2 linked regions of the Rattus norvegicus genome follow. The protein of the gene in region 1 binds, or shares a complex with, the protein of each later gene. Links are inferred from orthologs where the notes say so. Each region holds a gene or a part of one and is shown in the gene's direction. Other genes may lie near its edges. The genes, in order: Dnajb1 and Nudc.

Evidence for each region.
Region 2: the proteins of Dnajb1 (region 1) and Nudc are in contact, whole or in part, in a crystal structure (PDB 7NDX), measured with the Homo sapiens proteins. The link is inferred for Rattus norvegicus from reciprocal best matches to the Homo sapiens genes DNAJB1 and NUDC. Residues at the interface, in NP_006136.1 of Homo sapiens: His166, Lys181, Lys182, Met183, Lys184, Ile185, Ser186, Asp201, Lys202, Ile203, Ile235, Phe237; in NP_006591.1 of Homo sapiens: Pro102, Gln103, Ile104, Lys105, Glu106, Leu107, Ala112, Leu115, Gln116, Ile119.

The regions. Positions count from the first base shown.
Region 1 is NC_086037.1:41,428,228-41,432,741, reverse strand, and holds the start of Dnajb1 (dnaJ homolog subfamily B member 1), read left to right. Parts: upstream 1-1,600; 5' UTR 1,601-1,700; coding exon 1,701-1,911; coding exon of another isoform or gene 1,912-2,083; intron 2,084-3,186; coding exon 3,187-3,767; intron 3,768-3,990; coding exon 3,991-4,221; 3' UTR 4,222-4,514. UniProt on the Homo sapiens protein: Interacts with HSP70 and can stimulate its ATPase activity. Stimulates the association between HSC70 and HIP. Negatively regulates heat shock-induced HSF1 transcriptional activity during the attenuation and recovery phase period of the heat shock response.
Region 2 is NC_086023.1:151,041,231-151,045,415, reverse strand, and holds the end of Nudc (nuclear migration protein nudC), read left to right. Parts: intron 1-161; coding exon 162-365; intron 366-461; coding exon 462-527; intron 528-1,534; coding exon 1,535-1,849; intron 1,850-2,631; coding exon 2,632-2,715; intron 2,716-2,808; coding exon 2,809-2,927; intron 2,928-3,282; coding exon 3,283-3,334; 3' UTR 3,335-3,538; downstream 3,539-4,185. UniProt on the Homo sapiens protein: Plays a role in neurogenesis and neuronal migration. Necessary for correct formation of mitotic spindles and chromosome separation during mitosis. Necessary for cytokinesis and cell proliferation.

The DNA.
Region 1 (4,514 bases):
ACCTTAGTAAAACCCAGATAGGCCCACCCATAGGCATGCCTGCACTTCTCCATTAAAACCACACTGTAGGGGTTGGGGATTTAGCTCAGTGGTAGAGCTCTTGCCTAGCAAGCGCAAGGCCCTGCGTTCTGTCCCCAGCTCTGAAAAAAAGAAAAAAAAAAAAAAAACACACTGTAAAGAACTCCCATGCCCTGTGCTCTCCCTTGGGCCCCTCTTCTGTTCATTATATACTTTTGATTTCTATTCACCCATTTTGAAGTCAGGCTGGCCTCACATGGGAGTTCCTCCTATAGCAGCATCCTGGCACGGGGATTACAGGAACAAGTCACTGTGCCAGGATAGGCTCTTCATATCTCGGTATCTTTAAAGACACGTTCTCTCCAAGTGACTGGTTCGGGACACCCTCTCTGATAAGCTAATGGGTTTCCTAGCCCCAAATCCATCTTGGGGGAAGGAGGACTCAACTGGTTCAGCTTTCACAGGGTCAGTACGGTCAGGGAAATCAAAACACACACAGCTATACCATCATGGGATGGCTAAGGTTGTTTTTCTCAGGGGTGCCTAAGGCAAGGGTTATCAGACTCTCATGCTGCAGGGCTGCCAGAAAGTGAGTGTCAACAGTTGTCCACTAAACAAGATGATTAATCATCCCTTTCAAGAACACCTCCTTTGTACCTTGTCTGTCTACGGCACTTTCACAAATGCTGGATAATGTCAACTTAACCATAATACAGCGACCATTCCCATTATACAGATGAGCACACTGAGACCAGAATGGCTACTTTACCAGCACAAAGTCACACAGCCAGAAAGTGCTAGGATTACTGTCAGCCTTTCATGCACTGTCTTCCAGGCAATTCCCTGCAAGAACCACCACTGACTCCTCCAGCTTCCAATATCAGAAGCTCTGTCCTCTTCCTCACTCAGCAGTGTCCTTGACCGTATCATCCCAGGCTTACGAAGCCAAAGCAAAAAACATCTATGTCAAAGTATTTGGAAATATTTACGAAGCACCTAGTGGATCTTAAAAAGATTTCACTCTCTGCAAAGGAAGTGACACCAAGAACGCCAAGAAACCAGCTAATTCCAATAGGAATTAGTAGGAAGTAAAATAACCCAGCCCGACTGGGGCAATCCCAAGGCAGACCAGCCTCACCTCGCTTTACAGTAACGGCCTGTACGGGAAGACAAAGGGTTACGGGCAGAAGAGGGCGGGGTGCGTATTTTTATCCCTGGGTTGAAGCAGGAAGACTTGGAGTTACACATCAGGTAGCTACCATAAGTCACGCATCAGAACCGCCCAGCGGCGATCACCTGGGGAAAGGGTGCGGCCATCCGGGAGGGCCGCCTCTGTAGCCCGCCCCCTCGCGTCATCAGGGAGAGCGGGTCGCGATTGGCTGGATCCGCCGCGAAGGCGGGACCTCGGCAGCCGGCGCGCGCGTCCGAGGAAGGCGTTGACCAGGGGAGAGAGAGAAGGGGCGTGGCCCCGCGCGGAAAGCCGTTGGCCGCCGGGTCCCACCCCAGATGAGCTGCGTCACGCAGCGGGCTGCAGCGATTGGCCGGTGTGGGGCGACGCATCGGGAGGGGCGGAAGGTTCTGGAGGGCTGGCGGGATCTGGAAGCTTCCGCCGGACGGGTATATAGAGTCCGGGACGGGGCAGCAGCGGAGCCGGAGGCGGCGACAGCTGGGCGGCGGTGGCCATGGGCAAGGACTACTACCAGACGCTGGGCCTGGCCCGCGGCGCGTCCGACGACGAGATCAAGCGGGCCTACCGCCGCCAGGCGCTGCGCTACCACCCGGACAAGAACAAGGAGCCCGGCGCCGAGGAGAAGTTCAAGGAGATCGCCGAGGCCTACGACGTGCTCAGCGACCCGCGCAAGCGCGAGATTTTCGACCGCTATGGAGAGGAAGGTACGCGTGCGCGCGGCCCGGGTGACCCGCCGTTTGACAGGCGAGGAAACCGAGGCACTCGGGGCCTCTCTGAGGCTTCGGCGGGGGACAGATGGTCCGGGGATCCCGCGGCGGCGCTGCCTCCTCCACCTTCTCTCTAATCGGCGGCCTCAGACGGGAGGAGGAGCTCTGGGTGCGCCGCTAGCACAGAAGCTTCTAGCACGTCTGCCGCAGCCCCTCCCGGCCGGCCGCCTGCACAGCGCCGGAATGCTGCAGACGGGGGCGGGGGGCGGCGGTCGCGATGGGAATGAAAATTGCCCAAGTGTCGATTCCCTTTCCCAGCCGCAAGCTCGGTGCTTACCCAAAGTTGAACCTTTCTGGTACTAGTGCGTAGGAACTTCTTTGTAAGGTGTTACAGCATAGCTGGGAGGATGGAGCAGTCACGTCAACCTGGTGGCACCAACATCTAGAGACCTTTCTACTGAATTGTTGTCACGAAGTTAAACGGGGTGGTTTGTTTCCTGTTCCTGTTGCCATTGGGAGTTAAAGACTTGAGATTCGTCCTTGACTTAAGTGGAAAAGCTTTTAAAAATATACACGTAACTCCTTCCCCTCACCCCCTCCCACACACACACTATAGTTTCTGCTGCTTTTTTACTAAGACCAAAACTTGTTGAGAGCAGTGTACTGGGGCTCACACCTCCACTTGGGAGGCTGAATTAGGAACGTTGTGAATTTGCTGCAAATCTGAGCTACAGGGTAAGCTGTTTCCAAAGGAAGCAGACGTTGTGACAATCCCCCCCACCCCGGGGGTGTCTGAGTCAGAAAGATTGCCTTGAGGCTAATCTAGACTACACAGCAAGTTCTTGTGCTACTTAGAATTGACAGTAATACATGCAAGGGAACAAGATGTTACCATTTACTTGAGACAGGACCTCACTGTTGCTGGAACTTTTATTTTTTAATTTATTTGAGTGTGTACCTCCGTGCATCATCACACGCTTCTAGAGAAGGCATTGAAGTTCCCGGAACTAGAGTTAGACCATGGTCTGCTGCTTTGTGGGTGTTGGAAATTGAACATAGTTCCTTTGCAAGTGCTCTGAGCCATTTCTCCAGCATCTCATGTTAGAGCTCTGGCTTTCTGGAACTTGCAGAGATCAGTCTGCTCCTGTCTTGAGAGCTAGGGTTCCAAGATCTTTGTTTCAAGGGCTTTGTGTTTTATCTGTGTGTAGAAGTGTTGGGATGAAGGGTCCTGACTCTCCTGCAGTAACCCTGAGTTGCCGTTTTGTTTTCCAGGCCTGAAGGGTGGTGGCCCCAGTGGCGGGAGCAGTGGTGGTGCTAATGGTACCTCTTTCAGCTACACATTCCATGGAGACCCTCATGCTATGTTTGCTGAGTTCTTCGGTGGCAGGAATCCCTTTGATACCTTTTTTGGGCAGCGCAACGGGGAAGAAGGCATGGACATCGATGACCCGTTCTCTAGCTTTCCGATGGGTATGGGCGGCTTCACCAATATGAACTTTGGACGTTCCCGCCCTACTCAAGAGCCCACCCGGAAGAAGCAAGATCCCCCAGTCACCCACGACCTTCGGGTCTCCCTTGAAGAGATCTACAGCGGCTGTACCAAGAAGATGAAAATCTCCCACAAGCGGCTGAACCCTGATGGAAAGAGCATTCGAAATGAAGATAAGATCCTGACCATCGAAGTGAAGAGGGGCTGGAAAGAAGGGACCAAAATCACCTTTCCCAAGGAAGGGGACCAGACCTCGAACAACATTCCAGCTGACATCGTCTTTGTTTTAAAGGACAAGCCACACAATATCTTCAAGAGAGATGGTTCTGATGTCATTTATCCAGCCAGGATTAGCCTTCGGGAGGTAAGGTGCTGGGTGTGGGGAGGAGGAATCATGAAGAGAGATGGGTACTGAGGATAACAGGCTGTGGGGGTGGCACTCTGTTTCTGACAGCATGGGGAGCTTTGTAGTGGGGTCTCGGAAGGCCTGGTCTGGTGGACCTGACCCTTCTCTGGATGGTTCTGGTCTGGAGGGGTCAAGCTTCCTAAGCCAGCTGCTACCTGACACTGTCTTTTTGCTTCCCTAGGCTCTCTGTGGTTGCACTGTGAATGTTCCTACTCTGGACGGCAGGACCATTCCTGTTGTATTCAAAGATGTCATCAGGCCTGGCATGCGGAGGAAAGTTCCTGGAGAAGGCCTCCCCCTCCCCAAAACACCTGAGAAACGTGGAGACCTTGTTATCGAATTTGAAGTCATCTTCCCTGATAGGATCCCCATCTCATCCAGAACCATCCTGGAGCAGGTTCTTCCCATATAGCTGCCTGCATTCCTCAAGGACTGAGCCAGGGACCTTTCCAGAGCTGCAGATTTCCAGACCGTTCCACTGGTTGCATACTGCGGGAGGGCCCAGGGAGGGCTTTTGCTCTGCCGAATGTTTTCCACAGAATATATTACAATCTTTCAAAGTCGCGCACTAGACTACAGTGGTTTTTCGAGCGATAGGCAGGCGGTGGGAACAGCAGCCCTCCTGGAATGGACCCACCCTTTGCACCCCAGCTCCTGCCCGAGGGTGTGAGGCAGGCCTGCAACTGGACTCTTCCCCTCTGCTGT
Region 2 (4,185 bases), on another chromosome or scaffold:
GCTGAGCCTGAGTTCTGCTTGTAACAGAAGCCGCTAAGAGCAGGTCCTCACCAGTGTGCAGCTGTTGTGCCTGGCTGCAGTTGTAATGCAGGGGTAGGTAATGTTCTGTCCCTAGGCTTTAAGACACTGTCCCTACTCTGATGCTTTCTTGTCCTCCTTAGCTCATCACACAGACTTTTAACCACCACAACCAGCTGGCACAGAAGGCCAGGAGAGAGAAGCGAGCTCGGCAGGAGACAGAGCGTCGGGAGAAGGCAGAGCGGGCAGCCAGGCTGGCCAAGGAGGCCAAGGCAGAGACTCCCGGGCCACAGATCAAGGAACTGACTGATGAGGAGGCAGAGAGACTGCAGCTGGAGATTGACCAGGTGAGGCCGGGCGTCCTCCTCTACTTCCACCCTGCCCCCAACTGCAGTGGCCCTGGGAAGTAGGGTTTTGATCCAACTCTGTGCCCTTTGCCACAGAAAAAGGATGCAGAGAACCATGAGGTGCAGCTTAAGAACGGCAGTCTTGACTCTCCAGGGAAGCAGGTAAGGTGGAGTAGCAGGCCTGGGCAGTGGTCTCCTCCCTTCAGCAGAATTCCCTCCTCACCCTCCCCTCTCCCCAGCCTTGGGGCCTTGCCATGCTGCAAAGCCCCACCCCAAAGACAGGGAAAAAAGCAGAGCAGAGCCAGAGTGGTGCTGTGATGATAATCTCAGCACTTGGTGGGCTGAGGCAAAAAGGTTGATGCAGATTTGTGCTATATAGTGAGAACCTATCTCAAATAGAAATGAAAACTATTTTCTTTTAACCCAGGCTTAGTGACACGCCTTTAGTCTTGGCATTCAGGAGGCAGAGGCAGAGGCAGGTGGATCTCTGAGATCTAGAATGGCCAGGGCTATGTAGAGAGACTGTCAGTAGTAACTACTACTACTACTACTACTACTACTACTACTACTACTATTACTACTACTAGATTATTTTTAGTAATAGCAGCAACAATAGTAATACTTTTTGATAACTCTACTGGCCTTAATCCTGGGACAAGAAAACCCTCAGGTGGACTGAAAAGATAGCTTAGTGGTGGCTCACGATGGCCTCTTTTTTTTTTTTTTTTGGTTCTTTTTTTTGGAGCTGGGGACCGAACCCAGGGCCTTGCGCTTCCTAGGGAAGCGCTCTACCACTGAGCTAAATCCCCAACCCCTCATGATGGCCTCTTAACTCCAGTGCTAGGGGGTCTTCTGAACTAGGTATGACATAGTGCAAAATACTCATATACTTGTAATATTTCTTAAACTGCTCCCGAGTCAGAGCATACCATGAAGGGTGGGCTGAGGGGCACTGGCTCAGCCACAGCCTGTGTCACTTGATATAGTTTGAGCCCTTCTGGCAGAGATCAGGACCTGTTTTTGCCTTTGGTTCCCAGTGGCCCAGGGTGTGTAGGTCGGCCATGCCTACCTTGCTTTTTTGTGGCTGTTGTGTCTAGCGGCAGTTGTGGGCCTGGCCTGGTGGAAGTCTGGTCTGTCAGGTAAGTCATTAAGCTTCCATGACTGAGCAGGATGCTGAGGAAGAGGAAGACGAGGAAGACGAGAAGGACAAAGGAAAGCTGAAACCCAACCTAGGCAATGGGGCTGACCTGCCCAACTACCGCTGGACCCAGACCCTGTCAGAGCTGGATCTGGCAGTGCCCTTCCGAGTCAGCTTCCGGCTGAAGGGAAAGGATGTGGTGGTGGACATCCAGCGGCGGCACCTCCGGGTGGGCCTCAAAGGACAGGCACCAGTGATTGATGGAGAGCTCTACAATGAAGTAAAGGTGGAGGAGAGCTCGTGGCTCATCGAGGATGGCAAGGTGGTGACAGTGCATCTGGAGAAGGTACAAGCGGCCCTTCCTAGCTGGTGCTGACACCCCCTGACTGCTCAGGCCTTGTGGGCTTACTCCTCACTCTGCTTTTATAGTCAGGAAACAGCTACGGTTTCCCTGTGTGCCTCGCTTGGGGCGGGAGGGCAGGGTTGGGGTCGAGTGGTCTTGTTCCTCTCCATCAGCTTGCACATGGGCTCCGTTCACATGTGCCTGAACCCGTGCTCTGCTCTGCCAGGCCTGTTCTAAGGACTGGAGAGAGAACGGGGAATAGAGTGTAGAGAAATCTGCCCCCAGAGAACCCACATGTCTCCCACTCTCCTTCCTAGAGGTGTGGGACATTTACTGGGTGAATAAAGGTGGTGTCTGGATAGAGCCGAGGGCCCATGGACACTTCCCCTGGCACAGAAGATGGTGCTTTTTGGCTGCAGCTCAATGGTCTCTGCCCTGGTACTTGACTTTTCTCCCAGCCAGAATCTCCTTTCTTGTTCTTTGCTCTTTTTTCTTTTTGTTTACTTGCAATGCCTTAAGGTCCAGTTGTTACTCTAGCTTCTCTCCTGCCGGCTAAGTGGCCACCCTATGTGTTTTCTTGCTCCAGGTGATTGATTTGTAACTGTTGGCCTCTGTGTCTTGTGCCCTCTGCTGGGCGGGCAGAGGTCTGGCTCTCCTGTCCTGGGCCTAGCACACACACAGTGTGGATGGGAGAGAGCTTATCTCTAAAAGGGCTGAGCTGTAATTCCTAGGCCATGGAGTGGGTTCTCCTTCCCCATGGGTTTCCTCCCCCTCTTCCTCCTCAGATCAATAAGATGGAGTGGTGGAACCGCTTGGTTACCAGTGACCCCGAAATCAATACCAAGAAGATTAACCCTGAGAACTCCAAGGTGAGTCCCGGTTTGCTAGGGGAGGTTTTCTCTGTGGAGCTCCAGGAGAGGCAGTCCAGTGCTGGACTCACTCTTCTTCCTGCCTGTCCCTAGCTCTCAGACCTGGACAGTGAGACTCGCAGCATGGTGGAAAAAATGATGTATGACCAGAGGCAGAAGTCCATGGGCTTGCCCACCTCTGATGAGCAGAAGAAACAGGAAATCCTGAAGAAGTAAGCGACTGGGGCGTGGGGAGGATTGCTGGGGGCTTAGACCTGTGTGACAGCAGTGTGCCACTAAATGGAACACGGACTGCCCCGCCCACTTGCAACATAAACTAGCCAAGTTCATGGTTCTCTCTTGGCTTGTTCACCTGACCATTTGGTACTGTCACCTCTAGGACAAGGCTACCTTAAGAGTAGGAAGCAGTAGGTAACAGGATTGGTGCCACCTGCTGGCACCTGCCCTTCTGGCCTAAGGGCTCTGATGCAGGCTTGGCTCCGGGTGTTTCAGGGTTCTGAGGAGGTCAGGCCCAGTGTCGGGGCTGAGGTGGACAGCTGAGATCACTTTTCTACTTCTGCCTCCTAGGTTCATGGATCAGCACCCAGAGATGGATTTCTCCAAGGCCAAATTCAACTAGCTCCTGTTCACCTTCCTGAACTCTTGCAGTTGAGCCCGTAGCCACTCAACTTCCTTTCCTGAGACCCAGGAGCCTTAGGGCTGGGCAGGCGTGGGACTTCCCAGGCATGTGAGCTCCAGGGATTCACTGGAGAAGGGCTGGGTCTTGGGGGTCTTGTCCTTGCTATTTGTCCTGTTACACATTAAAACTATTTACTCTGTTCCACCTATGTCCCCTGTGTAGACCCTCTGGCTGCTGCTAGGAGCTGGGATTTTGGCTTCTAGCCTGGTCTGCTGTGCGGCAGTCTACCTGCTAGGGCAGGGTCTCGACTCTCTGGGTCTGTTGCTCCTATGACTTTAGGGAGGACTATGACAAGGGATTTAAGTTTTAATTTACATTGTATGTGCACAAGTGCTGTGTGTGTGTGTGTGTGTGTGTGCTGTATGTATGTATGTATGAAGTTCAGAGGACAGCTTTCTGGGTCAATTCTCTCCATGCTTGCATGGGTTGTGAGGATAGAACATAGATTGCCAGGCTCATGTGAGTGAGTCACCTTACCTCACGTGTGGTTCTGAGCAAAGCTGAGTCTCTCTGGCTACAGATTCCCATTAGACATCAGGAGCCAGTCCCAGAATTAAGTGTTCAGACTGGACTGTGTGAACAAAGCCAGGGGAGTAATAAAGCCTGGGACACTGCCTGGGAGTGGGACTTGGGAAGGCGGGTATAGTCTGGTAGAGCCACACGGTAAAGGGTTGAGGAGGTAACTTCTGCTTAGATCTGGCCCTTGGAGCATCTGCTTCTGCCAAAGGGTCAGGGCCAATGAACGCAGAGGTGTGCAGGTTAAAGTTAACCACTCAGCCGTTTTGATAGAA